Xenopus tropicalis: one gene and its partners. The protein of the gene in region 1 interacts with the protein of each later gene in a pairwise test. Links are inferred from orthologs where the notes say so. Each region holds a gene or a part of one and is shown on either strand. Other genes may lie near its edges.

Region 1 (4,163 bases):
TCAGTATCACCTGGCAAAAAAAACCCAGCATATCCCACATATCCTTTGGTTCAAAGATAAACCGTCATAAATATGAATGCAAGGAACAGGAATGAGCAAATTTTGCCTTACCATTGAATTCAACTAATTTATTTGCATTTGCAATTACAAATTCAAGCAAGAAAATAATTATTTCAGATTAACATCAGTGGTCAATACCCCAGATCCACCACTCCACCAAGCAGTCACTTATTCCCTACTTTGCTCATTGCTTGGGGTGAAGCAAAAAAGCAACATTTGATCTGCTTCTGCACCCAAAAGCCCTTAAAGGTCTTAAAATCTATTATCTGTGGCAGATCTAGTTAAACTTAAGAACAAAGGATTTGCCCAAATCTGAATAATGCAAAAAGTGATGGGATTCAGCTGAGTCCTGCATTCATTCCTAGAAAACATTAATCCATAATACTATAAATGATGAATAGACATGGCATTTAGATGGTTTAACCAGAACAAAATGTAAAATAATACATACAAAGGATACAGTCTGAGAGGTTTAGTATTTTCAGTGACAGAAGAAAAAAGGAAACAGCTTTATTTATGCCTTTACAGTGAAATAAAGCATCAGCAATATTAGAAAAACAGTATTACTGAAAGAAGCAATAATAGCATACATATGGAGGATTTAGAGACCTACAGTAAAAAAATATAAAAGAGAATCATCTAGAAAATGGCCACTAAAATAAGATATGCATGTTTAATTAGCAAGATATATTCCAGTGTATCAAGAAAATTAAAATTGTTCAGGATGGCAGAACTATAGAGGCTAATTATACAGCATCTCTATCGGCTGGAGTGTTTTGAAGTGATGATAACTTTATACAAAGAAATCTATATTGTTTCTGGGCAGCATATTTTATTTGGTTTATGGGCTATAAATTTGACAATGGTGCAGTGTAAGCAGTCGTAACAGAAAATGTGTTGAAGTGGCACAGATGGATTGACTTGAATTACTTTCTCTGAATATTGCATTTGTTAGCATGTTGTTCCTGAGTCCATAAATAACAAAATAACTCCACTCATAAAGGGATCCTCCTGTTATCCTGTTTACAGAAAAGGTTCCCTTAGATTACTCACTACTTCATGTGATAGCTTTGCAAACTTTCAGGGACTGCAGGAAATCTGAACCCACAGTACAGACATAGGAATGTGAGATGTCCGTCCCCACCATCTGCATGTGACCAGCATACAGACTATATATAGGAGGGTCTGCACAGAAATCAGGAGCTAATCTTGGAACAAGAAACACTACTTGACTGGAAAGAAAAGATTCGCACCGAGGACTGTTAAATAAAGTCACACTAAGGACACAAGAGGAGAGACCTAAAAGCTACGACTGAAAATAAAGAAGATAATTTGTCAAAATGGATTACAATTCAGAAATTATCCGGGAGAATAATCCCATGGATAGTCTTGAAAAGCAGTTAATCTGCCCTATTTGTCTGGAAATGTTCAACAAGCCTGTGGTAATACTACCATGCCAGCACAACTTGTGTAGAAAGTGTGCCAATGATGTGTTCCAGGTGAGAAGAACTTCTCTGGTGAAGAGTAACCAGCTTTTAATGTATGCATTAGCCCACTCTTTTGTGAAACAGCCTAGTTGCTATTATACATTATTATGTTATATTATGCTTTATTTTCCTGCATGCTCATATAATGCTTTTTATGTGGCCTGTTGCCTTTATCTGTAACTTCCGGTTACCATCAAGTATATGCATCATTTGTTTGGGGAAGTCATTCCTAAAATAATCTCTGTCTCTGTCTGTTACTCTTTTTTCACAACCATTATACAGAGTGGTTCAAATATAATATGCATTAGAAATCAAATGCTATATTAGCCATCAGTATTTATAAATAATGTTACAGTTGCAAACACTTATATGTGGATAACATTTTCGTTCTTTAAGATATGTGGATATAATAACGCTTCAGTTTTTGATTTTAGGCTGGTAACCCATATTGGTCTACAAGGAGTTCAGTATCTGGAGGGCGATTCCGCTGCCCAACCTGTCGTCATGAAGTTATCTTAGATCGTCATGGAGTATACGGTCTCCAGAGAAACCTGCTGGTAGAAAATATAATAGATATCTACAAACAAGACTGTACTAGGTAAGAAAAAAATAGGCAATAATTAGTGCTGTAGAATCTGTTATTGTGGACACAGTGGTAGATAATCTATGCTAGTTACTACAAAATCACTCTCTCTGTGTCTTTCCCACTACTCAGTCGGCCTGAAAAGAAGGAAAACCATCCAATGTGTGAGAAACATGAAGATGAAAAAATAAATATATATTGCCTCAGCTGCCAGGTAGCAACATGCTCTATGTGCAAAGTGTTTGGAGTTCATAAAGACTGTGATGTGTCTCCCCTCCAGAACGTGTATCAGAGTCAGAAGGTGAGAGAAACACAAGAAGCAACTTCATGCAAACTAGGGTTACACCATTTGCCATAACCATAATATCAGCCACCCTGGCGGAAGCAAGTGAACACACAGCAGGGTATCACAATCACTTCATGCAATGGCTTATTTAGTGTTTATGATGACACACAGTAACTACATGGACAAACTAACCACCACTAAGACTTAATATACATTATATTAAAAAGGACAGAATCACACAAACAGTTGCAAACTGCTATCTATTATCTATCTAAGCATATGCATAGTGCTTGCTTTATTGACTGGCCTGTAGCAGCACAACCAGTCACACAAACAACATTAAAAGTGTTGCATAGTTAATTTTTCAAGGTCCCACATAGTCCTGAGTCTCTTGGTAGCTTTTTACTTCTTATTTATAGATACAGCATAGTCAAGTCAGCTGATATATTTAGAAAGAGTTGAGGCTGCAGTGTAGTGTCACAGCTGTGTGGGGGTGTGAAGGAAGAGCAGGTTGAAGAGGGTCATTTGACCTGACCACTATTAAAGGATATTCAGCTTTATCATTTCTAATCTAAGTGTTAATTTACATACATTTAATAAGTTTCAGCTCCCAATGTTCTCACCACATTTTTTGTTGAAAAAAAAAATAGTATCTTCTATATTATTCATTTAGCCCTTTTATTTGCAGTGCCAGCTCATCAACGTATATACTATATTTATATATAGTATATTTATTTATTGGACCTGTTTTTTTAGGCATATTGTGCCTTTAGTTATGCTTTCTGGCTTTTTATTTCACTACTAATATACATCAATTTTTAACTCCCTTAATTATAACACATTTTTATTTTTTCTTTGCTATCTCTATTCTTACAGACAGAACTGAATAGCTGCATATCGATGCTGGTAGCGGGTAATGATAGAATTCAGTGTATTCTTAGCCAGCTGGAAGAATCATGCAAAACTATACAGGTGAGAAATTTCAAGAACTTTACTTTACATGGAGACAGCAGTGCATGAATCCTGGAGTTTCCTACACATACAGATCAATCTATATAGCTGATACAAGTTAAATGAGCAATGTACAGTGGATGTGAATAGTATTTTTTACCCAGCCTATTGGATATCTGGCCAATACCCAACCAGTTATCAGTCAGGTAGGCCCCTTTTTCACCTCTTGTATTGGTTATTGGTTGCATTGTATGTATCTGTATGTTTAATTTATACACCCATTTTTGTACAGTTCTGCGGAATACATGTTAATAATAATAAGGGCTGTCTATCCAGAATACAGTTTAGTGTAGTATATGTTTGCTCCAAAGTAACATCAAAGGAAACCATAAATCCGACTTACTTGCCTAAGAGGTGTTTGAGGGTTGTTACTGATCACTTACAGAGATTAGTGAGTTTGACTGTTCTTTCTTTAATCATCCCATTTAGGAGAACAGTCAGAGTAAAAAGGAGTCTGTGAAAGAGATGTTTGAGACACTTTTCAGGAACCTGGAGGAGAAAAAGACTCATCTGGTACAGCGGATTTCACAAGCTGAGGAAGAGAAGTTGAACTTTGTGCGTTCTCTCATTGTACGGTATCAGGAACAGCTCCAGTCCTCATCCAATGTGCTACAGAATGCTTTTCAGGCTATGGAACAGCCTGGACCTGCTAACTTTCTTCTGGTAATTTACTGGGACTTCCAACATAAATGCCTCTACATGCATATTTATAAAGACGAGTAAAAAAAAAAAGTGG
Region 2 (3,514 bases), on another chromosome or scaffold:
GCTTTATCTTTAAAATGACATTGTCCTTTAAAAGTAAACAGTGCAGCAACATTATTGAGAAAATTTACATTCAAATTTTCTACTTTGGTTTCTACTTTTTTTCTACTGTTTAGCCAATTTAATATTTGCATGATCTTGCAGAGTAAATTGTACTATTCAGTTCTCCATTCTTAGTTAATTGTTAATGTAAATTGTTAATGTTACAGAATGTCTTAAGGTGCCCATACACCTTAAGATCCGCTTGGCGATGTCGCCAAGCGAGCGTATCTTCTCTCGATATCCCCCACCTACGGGTGGGCGATATCAGGAGAATCCAGGCTAATTCGATAGTTTGGCCCTGGGGCCAAACGATCAAATTATAATGTCGGGCATAGGAAAAGTCGGTCCGGGGACCGCAACAACGAGCCGATGCGGTCCCCGATCCGACTAGATTTTTAAACCTGCCCGATCGAGATCTGGCCGATTGGTTTTCCCTTTTCTCTGTAATAATAACACAGTACATTGTACTTGATCCCCATTGGGTTTAATTACTGTTTAAATATTTTTTAGTGGACTTAAGGTAGGAGATCTGAATTATGGAAAGACCCCATATCCAGAAATCCCCAGGTCCTGAGCATTCTGGATAATAGGTTCTATACCTGCAATACGCTATTGGAGAGATGATCATGTAAATTTAAAATATGCTTTGCTGATGACCCCATCTATGCAAATATTAATAAATATATCTAATTGCGCACTATCGTTTGGTCATTGCAGATGTGTATTCCTTTGATGAAGAGGAAGCAGTTATAGATCCCCACCTGGCCAAGCACCTTGCGCACTTTGGCATTGATATGCTGCAGATGCAGGGAGTACGTGTTTTCTTACTAATAATGATCATCCTTATGTTTATAGAGGTCTTTTACAAAGCACAGTTTAATGCATTACTGTATAGTAGCATAACCAGTCTGTATTAGGAGGTATCTCATCTAAGCACCATGATGCTTATAAATAAATAGCAATTGTAAAGACATGATCCCTATTTAGTGATTATGACCTCTCGGCGTTTTCTTGTTGACATGATGCTTATTGGCTCTCTTTTAGAGTGAGAATGGTGTCCTGGACAATGAAGTCAAACCAAGAGTTAATGAGTGGGAGGTTATCCAAGAAACTGGATTAAAGTTAAAGCCAATGTTTGGCTCTGGCTACACTGGCATTAAAAACCTTGGGAACAGCTCCTACCTCACTACAGTGATGCAAGTCATCTTTAGCATCCCTGAGTTTCAGAGAGCGTGAGTATCCTTGAATGTATTGGAACTCTTTGTATTTTTTGTTTCATATGTCATTACAAAGGTGACCACTACAGTACAGCTGAGAGCATGTGGTTTTTCTCTAGATTAGAATTCCACGTGTCAACCCATGTTATGATCCTTTAATTTTTTAAACTAAGGAGCATTCTATAGCCTGTACATAAAATTGCAAATTAATGCAACAAGCAAACCAATTTGTCTCTAGAGTTTAGTGGAGATCTGACTGGTATTTTAAACAGGTCTTCTTTGATTGATGTGCAGGTCTATCCGTTTTAGATGGTGCATTCTTTAGTTTAGTCTGAAATCTGTAAATGTCAGTCTTCCTATTCAAACCATAATTCATGGAATTAATTCTATGTAGTGGTGTGCAGACCAGCCTGAAACCCACAAGTCGGGTGGGTTTGGCCAACATTAGCAAAAGATTTGTGGATTGTAGGTGGGTTCAGGCTTCCTTTTGCCCTGCCTGTGTCCTTACTGTACCCCATTTCTGCCTATGATAGCCTCTGTTTATAGGTGTGCGCTTGCACCGCCCCCTTCATGACACAGAGATGGGGCAGGTCAGACACAAGTCAAAATAGAGGTGTATTCCCGGGTTGGGTTAGGAGCAGGCAGGTTAGGGCTGATGCACATCACTAAATCTGTGGTCATAGATATAAATATGTGATGTGGCATTTTGGATTATAGACCAAAAATGACATACAGGTATGGGACCTGTTATCTAGAATGCTCGGGACCTGGGGTTTTCCGTATAAGGGATCTTTCCGTAATTTGGATCTCAACAATTTAAGTCTGCTAAAAATCATTTAAATAATTAATAAACCCAATAGGCTTGTTTTGCCTCCAATAAGGATTTATTATGTCTCAGCTGGGATCAAGTACAAGCTACTGTTTTTTTCGGAGCGTTAAAACTTTTCTCGCCTTTTTCGTAGCCATTCCGAAAGTTGCGCAAAATGTTGCGATTTTTTTCGTAGCGCTCGGATTCATTCAAGCTTCAGTATGGTGACTTTTCTTGGGCCAGGTTGGAGCTGCAGGGTGCCATTGAGTCCTATGGGAGGTTTCCAAAATCATGCTAAGTCTGAAAGTTTCGCCCGCCGCTTATGAGCGCTCAATACGAAAAAGTCGCGTCAAGATACGAGCGAATCATAATGGATACGAAAAAAATCGTATTGGTAACGAAAAAGTCGCGACAATTTCCGAAAAGTCGTAAAGGCGCCGAAAAAATCGCAAAAAATACGAAAAAGTCACAAAATTTTCGTTTTCCAATCGGAATTTTTCCAATTCGGATTCGTGGGTTAGTAAATGTGCCCCTTAATCTGTTTTCACACTCCAGATGGAAATCTAAAAAAATGGCTGTGCCCTGGTAATATTTAAATATATTTTTGCATGCTAATTTCAGGTACCTCTTCTGTAAACCATCTAACTATTCCAGGATTACAAACATTAATGCATTATGGTAAACACATGCAAGCAAAAATAAGGTAGAAAATATCTAGTAGTGGAAGTGTTTTCATTTGTGTTCTGTTCATTTCTCCCAGATCAGGGAGACCTAATATGAGCAAATAGACCCAGAAAGAATAATTTGGCAGCATGTATAGATGTATGCAATAGAATACCACTCTTTCCACCCTCTCTGCAACAGTGTGGGACTGGCCCACCAAGATACCAGGAAAACTCCCGGTAGGCCCATGTGTCAGGTGGCCCTCTTGCTCACACAACCATTTGCCTTTTATGCCTATACCATGGACATTACTCAATTCTATGGGGCTGATTTACTAATCCACGAATCCGAATCCCGAACGGGAAAAAATCGGATTGGAAACGAACATTTTGCGACTTTTTCGTATTTTTTGTGTTTTTTCCGTCGCCGTCACGACTTTTTCATAAATTGTTGCGACTTTTTCGTAGCCGTTACGATTTGCGCGAATTGTCGCAACTTTTTCATAGCCGTTACGACTTGCTCGTATATTGTCGCGACTTTTTCGTATTGAGCGTTCGTAAACGGCGGGCAAACCTTTCAGACTTTGCATGATTTTGGAAGCCTCCCATAGGACTCAATGGCACTCTGCAGCTCCAACCTGGCCCAAGGAAAGTCTCCCATAGGGCTCAATGGCACTCTGCAGCTCCAACCTGGCCCAAGGAAAGTCACAATACTGAAGCTTGAATGAATCTGAAACTTTCGTACTCGGCGCGACCGCTAGGAAAAAGTCGCGACAATTTGCGCAAGT
Region 3 (3,994 bases), on another chromosome or scaffold:
TTGTACATTAACATGCATAATATTTGATTGTTTTGGTTGATACTGATACACGAAGAGGGAAAGACTATATTAAAACAATTCTATAAATATGTTTTAACAATTCCACAGTTTAGTTAGGAAACCTATTGAATATTTATCATAATTTGAAATACTTTGATATAAAGCTAGGTACTCCAGCCAACTACTAATACACACCACTTTATAAAGAGGCAGAATAATGTTCTCCTCTTGTGTGTCAGGGTTGATGGTCTTCAGGAGGATTTGATCTTGTTGCATGAGCAAATGGCTTATAGGGGAGGTTAAGTAAGGAGGTAAGAGGAAGCAGGTACTGGAGAACAGACAGACCTGTCAATAGTAATACTAGGTACGAGTAGAAAACGATTTGTTCTTTATTTTGGTACAGGTAGGACAGGCATGGTAGCTATTAGTCAAAGTGGCAAGGTTGGGGCTCATAGTGGTAAGGAAAGTTCTGCAAGTACTGGAAGTGGCAATAAAGACAAAGACCAAAGGTAAGGTAACTAATGAGATCAAGTCCAAGTCCAGAGACGGGTCAAGGCAATTTAGAATACAAGGTCAGGAAACAAGCCAAAGGCAAACAACAGATATCCTGCAGAAACAACCTTCTTGGGGACAGGAAATGTGTATCTACAATCAGGCAAGGATATTGATGAATTCGGAGGTTTAAATGTCCAAACTTTGCACCAAACTGTGACGCTGCACATTAGCAATCAAGTCCTTATTGACTTACGATGATGCCAGTGGGGACAGAGAGGCTACATTACGTTTAATACAAAGCAACATTTTGCTAGCTCTAGCTTCTACAGCACTCTCTAGATTTAGGAATCTAGTCACTTTAGAGCAGGGATGCCCAGCCTTTTATTTCCGTGAACCACATTCAAATGGAGAAAGTTTTGGAAAGCAACACAATCATTATAGCCCTTATGATGACTGGAAGTCTACAAAAGGCTCGGTTTGGCAATTACACTGGGTTTTTATGCAATCAAAACTTGCCTCCTAACCAGTAATTCAAAAATAAGCACCTGCTTTGAAGTCACTGGGAGCAACATCCAAAGGGTTGGGGAGCAGCATGTAGCTCACGAGCCACTGGTTGGGGATCACTGGTTTAGAGCATGTACCATTAACAACAACCTGTGCTCTAATAGGCTGAGTGTTTAGAAGATCAAGAGACTAGTTTATTAGAGCAGTTGCTTATGTGCATCTGCTTTAAAAGCTTCTCTGAAATCTAACACCATGTACGCTGAAACAGCTTTCTCTTTATTTCATGTAATAAGCAAGTTTGTTTGACAAGATCTATCACTCACAAAGCCATTTACTCTTTATTTTATTCTACATAATCTAATCCTGTATGTAATTTTGCAGCAAATATACAGATATACAAGTTATGGGAACTATAAATGTCAGGTTGGAACTGTACAACCATTTTGAACATTGGAATTCCTTTGATTTACAACCCATTTGCACCATGCCAGGCAAAAGGGAGCTGAGAAATGAGTTAAGCCATTTAAGTGCTGGTGGGTATATTTCAGCAGAGCTGGTGCTTTATGTTTGCTGTTAAAAGTCTTTTCTTTTTTTCAGAGAGGAAAATATTATATTATGTTAAGTTTTCTGCATTACTAAATCCCAAAACCACTTAATAGGTTTTTTTAATTGGACCACCAATCTCAATCTTAATTTTTTTGGTATGCTTAAATAACTTTTTTTTTATTGTATGTTTTCAACAACATTTGTTTTAAAGGAGAAGGAAAGGTAAAAACTAAGTAAGCTTTATCAGATAGGTCTATGTAGATACAGCCATAAGCACTCACAGAAACGCTGCACTGAGTCCTCTTTCAAAAGAAACACAAGATTTCTTGTCTCTTTGTTTTCCTGTGCCAGAGTCTGCACAGCTCTCTCCTCTCTTCCCTCTCCTGCTCCCCCCTCCTATAAGAATGCTAAGAACTCCCTCCCCCCCTTAGGAATATGTGATCTGAGCCAATCAGCAGGAAGCTTCCTCATAGTCTTACAAACTGTGCATGTATACTGGTCTTGGTGCAGGAGTATGGCATTATGGGAATTTTCTTTACACAGCTCAGCGTTTTTTTTTCCTATGAGGCTTCTGATCATCTGAATGGGAGAAATATGGGGAGACTTAAGGGCACTATTGAGAGAACTGAAGGTATGCCTGCAGCTTGAGATTAACTCTTTATTAGCCTTTCCTTCTCCTTTAATCTTTACATTTTTTTTAAAGACAGTGTTCTCTTTTGTTTATTATTATGTTATTATTTAAAGTCACAGCTAGGGACTTTTTGTGTGTTTTTGCAAAGGGGAGTAAATTGAAAACTGCAATTATTTAATATTGTGTTAGGCAAGCTTTTCTGTTTTTAATATCTATCTATCTATCTATTATATTTATGCAAATGGTGCTTTATTATACTTGTCAGATTTTAATGTCTGTTCATTAATCAAGGAAGAACCTAGTCTCATGTGTATGGCAACCATATACATTTTGGCAAGTAGTCGTGCTAGTAGTTTTCAGGGAGATAACATAGTAAGAATTGCAGCAAATGTGAATCTTCATGAAGCCTGTAGTTACATCAGTTAGGACTTTAAAGTAAACAAGGTACTCTATTATTCCATGACACATTTTCTGTAGTTGTTTGTAAGCAAGAAATATTTGTATTCTGTTTCATTTTTTGTTTTTTTTTGTTGAGCAGTTTGCAAGCATTTTTATCTTCAAGCTGTAAAGAGCCAGAATAAAAAGGCTATAGAAAAAACAGTACAGAAAATGCAATGTGTGACGTAGGCCAAAGGTGTACCCCCGAAGATCTGTAGTTAGAATTTGAATTTTTTTCCTTGATTAAATTTTTTTTGCCCTAACATTCCTAATATTCCAACTATGGTTCCAGAACTCATATGTTCGATATCTATTAAGTGCAAAAAACAAATTCAAGGCCTTTTCTTTTCAATTCAAGATTTTTGAGTTTTTTTTGAGATTGTAAACTCACAAATTCTAGGTATTCTAGTTTTTTAAAATCAATTTTATTCAATCACATTTTTATATTTGGATTTTTTAATAAATAAGCATACATTTGAAAACTGATAAATAAGCTAGATAGTTACAGACTAGTCAGTTGTCATTGTGGGGGGTCCAGTGTGCAAAGTACTCTTAAATATAAGTTTTTAAACTCTATGGGACAGGGTCCCCCTTTCTCTTGTCCTAATATCTAATCTTGAATGTTAACACAATGGGATGTGATAGGGAGTGATTTTAACAGAGGAAAAACGTGCCAGGCAAACCCCCAAGAACCATCACGGACTAAACGTCTCAACAGTAAAAAGAGGGTTTGAACGTGGATGTGTCTTTTTTTTGCCTCAATACACAATATGACATTGTTACATTAAACATAGTTAGAGTAATATTACTAGTTACAGTACATTACTTTATTCTTTATAAATGATAGATAAAGCATCTTATATATATAATGAAGAATGAATGTATTAATTTATCATTTTATTTCAGGAGTGATCTCTTCAAGAAAAAAGGTACCAATGTGGATTATTTCCCAGCATACAACATTGGCAAACCAATAACCTGTACCTTAAGGGTCAACGGCAAGTGTCTGAAAATATGGACCTCTCGTCCCTGCCATCTGTTTCTGCAATGTATCAACCAACAACATTTAATTATGAGCGCCCTAAACATTTTATACAATCAAAACCGAAATGTCAAGTGGAATCCACGTCTCAGTCTACCAATGAAGCTGTACATACAAGCAGGTCACCTAAGAAAATTTCTATTTCAATTCAGCCTCAGCCATGCTCATCATATAACATGAGCTCTGCAGCACCGGTTGCACCATCAAAGTGTAGTAAAACAGAAGTTCATTTACAGCCCCAGTCTTCAAACATTGCATTATCTGGACAAGAAAATGATCAGAGCAAAAATACATCCACTGCATTTCTAGCAATTTCACCTTCCAAGAGTCAAAGTAAA
Region 4 (4,053 bases), on another chromosome or scaffold:
GGTTAATAGAGACAGATATATGCCTGATAGATAGAAGACAGACAGATAGATAGATAGATAGATAGATAGATAGATAGACAGATAGATAGATAGATAGATAGATAGAAGATAGACAGATAGATAGATAGATAGATAGATAGATAGATTAGATAGATAGGTGATAGATAGATAGATTGATAGATTATAGACAGATAGATAGATAGATGATAGATAGATAGATAGATAGATAGATAGATAGATAGATAGATAGATAGATAGATAGATAGATTAGATAGATAGATAGATAGATAGATAGATAGATAGATAGATAGATAGATTATAGACAGATAGATAGATAGATAGACAGATAGATTAGAAAGAATAAGACAGATACTAGTCAGATATAATATAGAGACAGACAGAGAGAACATGGTTTGACCCAAAGAGGTTTTTACTCACTCTTCACCCATCTTGGCGGTTTCTGTGATACCTGAGCACAAAACACAAAGACACAAAATTCAGCACATGAAGTCCTGCCCCCCAAGATATAACTCTTTGGCAAAGAATCCCTGTAAGGAACACGCTGAGCCCCGCTCACATACCAGCCTAGGCACAGACTGATGGAAGGATTAGTCTGAAATTCCCCAATGAACTCAGCTCCTTGGATGTCCCTTCCTCTGCCACCGCTGGCCGGCCTCTAAATAGAACCTTGGCAGGGGGAGCAGAGATGGGACACCCCGCCACCCTATTTGAAGTCATCTGATCCCCTTTGGAGATATCAGCAACTTTGCAAGACTTTCCGAAAATATCCCACGGAGCCTTTAAGGCATGACAGCTGTCTCACCCTTTCTCTATGGATCCCTCCTTGCCAGGCCCTTCTAATGAATGAGGTCACAGGTGAAGAAACCTTAGCCATGTGTTCATTCCCTTTCCTCGCATTCATGCGCTGACTCTCAGGGGGTCCCATTTCAGATGCTAAAATAAAAGCCACTCAATGCCCTATAATGCTGAGTAATATTTGCCCCAGATTTACAGCCTGTAGGCTGCGGAATATTATAATAATGCTTGAAACCAAGGTTCTCAATCAGTGGTGGCGGACGCAGGTCATATTTCCAAATATCTCCTTCTTTCAGCACAGGCAACTTGGGCACAAATCCTCCGGAATTAGGAAAATCTCCCAAATCTAGCCTTTCACCGAACCATGGGCTGGGAAGCAATGCCAATTGGGGCAATGAGGGAAAGAGTAGTGGTAAGTCTTTGGGCACAGGCATACATGGTAGAACAATAGGGCTCAGCAGGCCCATAGTTGGGGTTAAAAGAGAGATATATATAATATATATACAGGTATAGGACCCGTTATCCAGAATGCTTGGGACCAAGGGTATTTCTGATAAGGGGTCTTTCCGTAATTTGGATCTCCATACCTTAACTCTACTAAAAAATCAATAAAACAGTAATTAAACCCAATAGGATTGTTTTGCCTCCAATAAGGGGTAATTATATCTTAGTTGGGATCAATTACAAGGTACTGTTTTATTATTACAGAGAAGAAAGAAATCAGTTTTAAAATTCTGAATTATTTGATTAAAATGGAGTCTATGGGAGATGGGCTTTCCATAATTCGGAGCATTCTGGATAACGGGTTTCCGGATAAGGGATCCCATGCCTGTATATATATATATATTTATATAAATATATATAAAAAATATATTGGCAGCTAGTCTGTTGTACCCTACCCTTACTTATTCTACATATATGGTTCCATCTAATACATTTGTATCTATAGGTTCTATCAGGAATATATATATATGTTTCATGCTACAAAAGGGGGTCCTGTAATGAATTAAACATCAGTTCCAAATGGGTGGGTATGGGTTCCATGCACAAAATGGGTCATTGTAAGTGTCTACTACACAACATAACACTTAAAAACAATAACTAAGCAACATTCTATAATGGTACCGAGCATGGAGCAGCCTTGTTGCTCTGTACAGAGACTATGGGGCATGATAATCAAATGCTGAATAGAAATCTATACAAGTGAAGTGTGTTTAAGAGAAAGGGAATCGGTGGAGAATGGTCTGTTAACTCTTTAATTAACAGCCATCCCCTCCCTTCAGGTTAAACTGTAAATGCCGGGAATTCTAAGCAGTTAATACAAATACACAGATAATTTGTTACTTTAAATGTACATTCATACACTCATTAAACTCTGGCAGGGATCTATTACATATAATTGTTATTAATGACTATAAAATAATGATTTTTCCCCAACATACTATATCTATATATGTGGAACCGAGGCTGCTGAAAGCACGTAGATAAAATTGTGTGCTTGCCAATATTTGCGCAATACATGAAGTTCACTGGCATCGTTAATATATACAAATTCAATTAAAATTCTCACGATAGGGTCGTGGTGTTAAATCCCCCCTCCCCGGTTGGGTTTTGCTATTGTGAATGGAGGTTGTAATGTAAGTAAATGTTAAATATTAACTCTTGTTTTACAGGGAATTCTGTAGCTTGTTGTTTTAAAGCACAGAGAATGTATGACTGAATAGGTTATAATAAATGTAGGTAATTTATTTATAGTGGGCTGAACAGTGTAATGAATGAGCTAGGGGGATAGGGGGCTTGTGTATAGGCAGAGATCTCGGCTGCAAGTTGCCCAGGCAGGACCCTAATTAATCTCATGCACATACTGTACTGACAGACAGAAATCCATTTATTGTATATACACATGCCTCTGCCTTTGCCCCCCAGGGGCTGTTCCTTACCTGACCCTCGTAGACTGAGCCCTCTCTATGAAGCAGGGGTGGGACTGGCAGCGCTGTGTTGTGAGGGGGGTATTAATGTGCTGGGGGGGTGCCCAGGGGTAAAAGCTGCCTGGCTCAGTAAGGGCATGCAAACAACCTCCGACCAATCACGAGGCGGGTGACACAAATACTTTGACCCTCCCTTGCAGCCCATCTTAAGACTTAACCCTGTATCTGCTGGTGGTCAGCATTGTGAACAGTGGGGCATTCCTTAAATAACATTGGCCCCCAAATGCCTACTGTCATGGCACTGGGAGCATGGTATGGGCAGTGCGCTTAACCTTCTGGGAGGGTCTAGAGATACAAATCTAAAGTAGGAGGCATCTCAGCCACTAAAGGGTTAATGTGCTGTTCTCTGCAGATCCCATTACTTTCCCAAAGCAGATACTTCCCTCTTACTTATCCCCCCCAACCAAAACAGCTAGTACCCTTTTCAATCTCAGCTATGCAACTTATCCCTAGCAGCTTTCTCTTCTAAAAAGGTCCCACCCAATGCACCCTCACACCTGTCTCTCCGCTCCTCCCGCCCCACAGCAGGCTATCTCAGCATTCTCTTCTAATTGTTTGGGGTTTATTCGTCTCTAGCAGACACACAGATAGTCCTCTGGCCTGTAATCCTGCTGGGGGCTAAGGAATTCGCTCACCCAGGGCATTCCTGTATTACTGCCCACATACAGAAAAGCAGCAGGGTGGTGCTGACCTCTACTGGACATGATGCAAAATAGCATTTCATGGGCACCAAGCTGGCACTTTGGACCACACCGGCTCCTCTAGAGCAGGGGTCCCCAACCACCGGTACGGGGACCGGTGCCGGGCCGTGGGCTGTGCTGAAATGGGCCACCACTGCTCCATATTACTTGTGATCCCAACTCCCTGATGCTTTACACAGCCATGACAATAGCTATTCGAAGCCCAGGAAGATTTCTACTGATTACGACAAGGACCAAAGTACTTTATTAAGCTGTATGTAATAATAATATTAATAGTAAAGTGCATAATATAAAATTTAACTAGCACTAGTTGCGCCGCACCCCCCATCCCCGGTCCTTGGACAAATTGTCTTGCTTGAAACCGGTCCGTGGTGCAAAAAAAGTTGGGAACCACTGCTCTAGAGCACACATTCTGGCCCTGTCAGCCTCCCAAAAAGGCATATTAGTCAGTGCTAAGGCACTTGGCGTATTATCTGGGCTTTTTGTCTTGCAATGGCCCCTCCATAGATGCACACTGCCACCCATACCCAGCCACTCCCTTGTTCCCC
Region 5 (4,304 bases), on another chromosome or scaffold:
ACAATTCTGCACTGTCCTGATGGTAGTAAATTATCCCTCAGATCTATAACTAGGCTTGTGTGGTTTCTTACATCTGTTGAAAACAGTGGCACGTCCATTTCCAAATGTGTTATCAAAGATGTATCTTAATAGTAGCAAAGTTCTGGACATCTTGGGCCCTATTTAATGAACTAAAAATACTAAACATTTATTTTCAGGTTCTTAATAATGACTGGGTCCGTATAGCAGCAGTGTTGGTAACACTCATTTTCAGAATGAGGTGACGCATGTTAAATAACACAGATACAGAAGCAGCTTCTGATGTTTTTAAATATTTTAGCTGTACAGAGAACTACACACACACAAACACACACACACACACACATACAGTATATGTATATATATAGGAGGTGTGTATACATATACACTGTGCATATTTAATAACATTCATATATTTTGCATTTGACAAATTGTGGTTTTCCGTGATATTTTAGTAATAACTAATGAAAAAAAACCAGTAAAAAATTCAAAACTATGCCAACTACTAGCAGCTGAGGCCAAGTAGAAGTCAATGGGCAAATTACAAGTAACAATATGTATTTATTCGTGGTTTTAGAGGTTTATGGGGCTTTATTATTTTCAAGCGCACAAAAATTCTTCCAAAAATGAAACATTTTAGGTTGTCTTGTTCTTTTCATTTTTGTTCCACATTTTAATTTAATTGTGCTTTTTATATCCGGATCTTTTAATAAATGACTAGACCAGTGATCCACAATCAGTGGTTCACCACCCTTTTGATGTTGCTCCCAGTTGCCTCAAAGTAGGTGCCCATTTTTACATTTCTGGCTTGGAAACAAGTTTTAGAAATATAGAGACAAACTTTTACTCCAAGCAGAGCCTCCTGCAGACCAGCAGTCCACATGGGGCTGCCAAATAGCCAATCACTGTCCTTTCCCAAAGAACTTTGTGCGTGCTTGTGTGGCTTTAGTTAAAGCTGAACATGCCCGTTGTGTGCCCACATCTTGTGCTTTATACACCAGTGGAGCAACTACCAAAGTGGTGTGTGGCACTAGAATAGAATTACATTTGGCAATTATATGGGCGTAGTTCTGAGACCATTTTAGCACTGTACCTTGTGACTGTAAATGTAACCCTTTTTTCCAAATGGGGCTGAGAACAAGCCTTGCCTCAATAAACCAAATCTAATATTTACATTAGTATTCAATGTGCAACATGTCAGGATGAAAAGGATGAAGATAAAATCACCCTCAGTCTTTTTAATTGCATATAATAGTGAAATATTCCTCGCTGACTGTATTTCTTTTTCACTCTGTGCTGAGATGGACATCAGGACTGCTGAGACCCACCTTTTTTTCTCTTTCCTCCGTGCTATTGCTATCTGAGATCCCCCTTACTCCTTTTACTATTAATAAACTTCAGGATGCCACAGCAACATCCAAGAGTCAAATGTACTGCACTCTGCATCAGCACTTTGAGCTGTGCAGATACCCCGGATACACGTCCTTCTTGTTGCTGCCCTCTGAGAGACAAGACACAAGGGAGCCAAATTAATAAAAAGGAAAGAATCCGCAAGAGGACGTTTACAATTATAACATCAAAGAAGCTCCCATCTCTCCTCCTTTAGCTGATCTCCAGTTCCTGCGAAAAAGTAAGCACATCAATAATCAATTCGGGTCTTATGAGTAACTAGAGAATAGCCAATTATCTTTAAAGGTATTGGAACTTTAAAAAAATACAATTTTAAACAAATAATTAGAAAAATTCTTTTGGGCACTAAAGTTCACAAGCTGAAACTGAAGATGCGGGCAGTGAATACTGCTGACACTGCAAAGTCATATTCTTGGGTATGAGATGTGTGTAGACTGCAGCCAAATGCTTTCTGGGTAACGTGAGATCTGCTTAGACTGTTTTAATAGGCTTTCTCTCTGCTGACTACCTAGAACTTTTAACGACCTGCTGAAGTTCTGGTTATTTTTTTGTGGAAATAGCAATATATACATTTGTAAAACATTTTAAGTTTGTAGGGTAAACTGATAAAGGACTACTTAGACCCACCTTTTTTTTCTTTTTCCTCCTTGTTATTACTATCTGAGATTTCCGAAATGATTAAACTTATATATATATATATGTCCTGATACAAACTAGGGGTTTGTGAAGTTTTTTCCAGTAAGTAAGCAGTTTCAAAAATATCAGGCAATTACTCTAAGGACTACATTCCTCCATGGGCAAAAAAGAGCAAAGAAGCAGTAGGAGTGTAACTATTCCTGGCAAAACTGGTAACCTTGCTGTAATTCTAACCCTAACACTGCTGGTAGTCTTTTTGCAGGAAACATTTTCCCAGATAAATAAAGAATGCACAAGGTTGTTGGTCAAAATCAGAGATTCAGTCTTTAAAAAGTGCATTACAATGTTGCACATTTTTTAACTTTTGCTTAAATGATAAGAGGTATTTTTGTTCTATTCATATTTAATTAGCACAATCGTTATTTTAACTCTTGCTGATTCTCTTAAAAAGAAAATCCAATATAATGTAACTGTATATTGTGAATATTTGAAACCCCTTACTTGAGTCTTGTTTGCTTCTGGAATGTTAGAAAGACTCCAGAAATGGAACAGCGCTGTAGGCACCTGATTGTATGTCTGATAAATATAAATGAATTAGGAATAAAATCATGATTAGCTTGTCTGTTAACATAACTATCACAGCTAATCTAGTCTAATTTTTAAGGTAGCTGTGTTGGCCAAACACTTCCAGTGTCACATTTCCTGCTCCCTTGGAGACTTGGCAGAGTGATTATTGTACATTGTGTATGCATGCTTGGGCAAACCCATTTGGCACTTTCTGTAGAGCACAGATTAAAAAATAAAACTGGGTGTAAAACTCCCATATGCAGTATATGTTATGGAAACAGAGTATAGTCCTTAAAAAAAACATTTCTATTTCCTACTTTCGAAACCTGCAAATATATTTGCAATTTGAAATATTAAACAGAATTGCAATTACTGCTGAACATATTGCATCTCCCTTTAGTGGTGCTCTTCAAGCATTTCTGGTATTTTATTTTCTGTTTTGGTCTTGATTAAACTTGTGTTTGTCAGATTGCAACCTACTATGTCCCTTGGAAGGCATCCAGAACTTTTTTGCCAGTAAATTTAAAACCCATCAGGGCAAGCCCATCAGAGTCTTTTGGTGACATTTTAAACCACTCCTGTGTCAGTAATGACGTTTTTATTGACCACTTTGGATTAAAAATAGTATCTAGGTTTGTCCTATTTGCACTAGCTGAGCTAATAGGCATAGGAGATCCCAAAAAGGGAATGTGTAATAATGCAAAAGAAGTGTCTCTGATAATAAAACCTTCTCCAGTTCCAGACTCCAGTACATTTAGCCAAGATATCACTGACTGCTCTACAGGCATAACGCAATTAGAATGTATATTCAAAATTTAGGTATGAGCCTGCATTAAAGCATAAGTACTACTACGGTTATCATTGCTATGTTCTTAATAGCAACCTATGCCATGAAGATGACTTGGGCAATTGCCTTTGCAGTTTGTTGCAGTATGTACTGAACCTACAGGGGGTGTGGAGGTAAAAACTGCTCCTGTGCCCTGTTACCTCATAGAGATCCTTGGGAACAGACAATTCTTCCACTGTGCTATGTGCAGGATTTAATATGGATAGACTTAGGTGGTTGGTATAATAAAATGGCCCAGGGTCATATTTTAACTGTTTTTGGTCCAAAGTACAACCCAGCAGTCAACTACCACCAGGTTGTGAGTTGCCATGTAATATATTAACAGTTATAAATATGAAAAGATTGCAATTCAGTAAGTTCATATTTGCTCATATGATCAGGTGGCTTAACTGATTGTTAAGCCCAAAGGAATTTAAAGGGAAGTGCCCCCCTATCATTTCCTATTGGCCAATAATATGTCACACACAGATCATCAGAACAAGAGGAACAGATTCTACATCTTTTTGTAAAATATGGTCTGATAAGGGCCAGACAGACAACACAAGGAATTTGAGAAGAATTACTTATCCAACTTATCCAGTTACTTATCCGGTTTCTGTATCTTGTTAATTAAAGCAAATAAACACAAATCATTCTGCATATTTTCACTTTTTTAACATCTCCAGGAATAAAAATTTGCAGAGGAAGATGAAAAGCAGAAAAGATAAATTCTGGTAAATTAGGTCTCTTAAAAATGACACAAAATCAAATGTTTGATTTAGTTTAGGAAGAATCAAGAGGGTTGATACAGAGAATCTGTCACATACAGACCTAATGACCCTAAAGG

The links.
Region 2: the proteins of trim63 (region 1) and usp13 interact in a two-hybrid assay, tested with the Homo sapiens proteins (2 studies listed by BioGRID and IntAct). The link is inferred for Xenopus tropicalis from reciprocal best matches to the Homo sapiens genes TRIM63 and USP13.
Region 3: the proteins of trim63 (region 1) and myot interact in a two-hybrid assay, tested with the Homo sapiens proteins (2 studies listed by BioGRID). The link is inferred for Xenopus tropicalis from reciprocal best matches to the Homo sapiens genes TRIM63 and MYOT.
Region 4: the proteins of trim63 (region 1) and tnni2 interact in a two-hybrid assay, tested with the Homo sapiens proteins (2 studies listed by BioGRID and IntAct). The link is inferred for Xenopus tropicalis from reciprocal best matches to the Homo sapiens genes TRIM63 and TNNI2.
Region 5: the proteins of trim63 (region 1) and myoz1 interact in a two-hybrid assay, tested with the Homo sapiens proteins (2 studies listed by BioGRID and IntAct). The link is inferred for Xenopus tropicalis from reciprocal best matches to the Homo sapiens genes TRIM63 and MYOZ1.

The regions. Positions count from the first base shown.
Region 1 is NC_030678.2:76,885,022-76,889,184, reverse strand, and holds the start of trim63 (E3 ubiquitin-protein ligase TRIM63), read left to right. Parts: upstream 1-1,352; 5' UTR 1,353-1,400; coding exon 1,401-1,559; intron 1,560-1,981; coding exon 1,982-2,145; intron 2,146-2,262; coding exon 2,263-2,431; intron 2,432-3,292; coding exon 3,293-3,388; intron 3,389-3,856; coding exon 3,857-4,090; intron 4,091-4,163. UniProt on the Homo sapiens protein: E3 ubiquitin ligase. Mediates the ubiquitination and subsequent proteasomal degradation of CKM, GMEB1 and HIBADH.
Region 2 is NC_030681.2:108,723,915-108,727,428, reverse strand, and holds part of usp13 (ubiquitin carboxyl-terminal hydrolase 13), read left to right. Parts: intron 1-756; coding exon 757-851; intron 852-1,083; coding exon 1,084-1,271; intron 1,272-3,514. UniProt on the Homo sapiens protein: Deubiquitinase that mediates deubiquitination of target proteins such as BECN1, MITF, SKP2 and USP10 and is involved in various processes such as autophagy, endoplasmic reticulum-associated degradation (ERAD), cell cycle progression or DNA damage response.
Region 3 is NC_030679.2:31,483,237-31,487,230, reverse strand, and holds the start of myot (myotilin), read left to right. Parts: upstream 1-1,185; 5' UTR 1,186-1,532; intron 1,533-3,520; 5' UTR 3,521-3,628; coding exon 3,629-3,994. UniProt on the Homo sapiens protein: Component of a complex of multiple actin cross-linking proteins. Involved in the control of myofibril assembly and stability at the Z lines in muscle cells.
Region 4 is NC_030680.2:21,783,813-21,787,865, reverse strand, and holds the start of tnni2 (troponin I, fast skeletal muscle), read right to left. Parts: upstream 2,804-4,053; 5' UTR 2,757-2,803; intron 676-2,756; exon of another isoform or gene 582-675; intron 470-581; 5' UTR 450-469; coding exon 439-449; intron 1-438. UniProt on the Homo sapiens protein: Troponin I is the inhibitory subunit of troponin, the thin filament regulatory complex which confers calcium-sensitivity to striated muscle actomyosin ATPase activity.
Region 5 is NC_030683.2:44,138,244-44,142,547, reverse strand, and holds the start of myoz1 (myozenin-1), read left to right. Parts: upstream 1-1,496; 5' UTR 1,497-1,648; intron 1,649-4,304. UniProt on the Homo sapiens protein: Myozenins may serve as intracellular binding proteins involved in linking Z-disk proteins such as alpha-actinin, gamma-filamin, TCAP/telethonin, LDB3/ZASP and localizing calcineurin signaling to the sarcomere.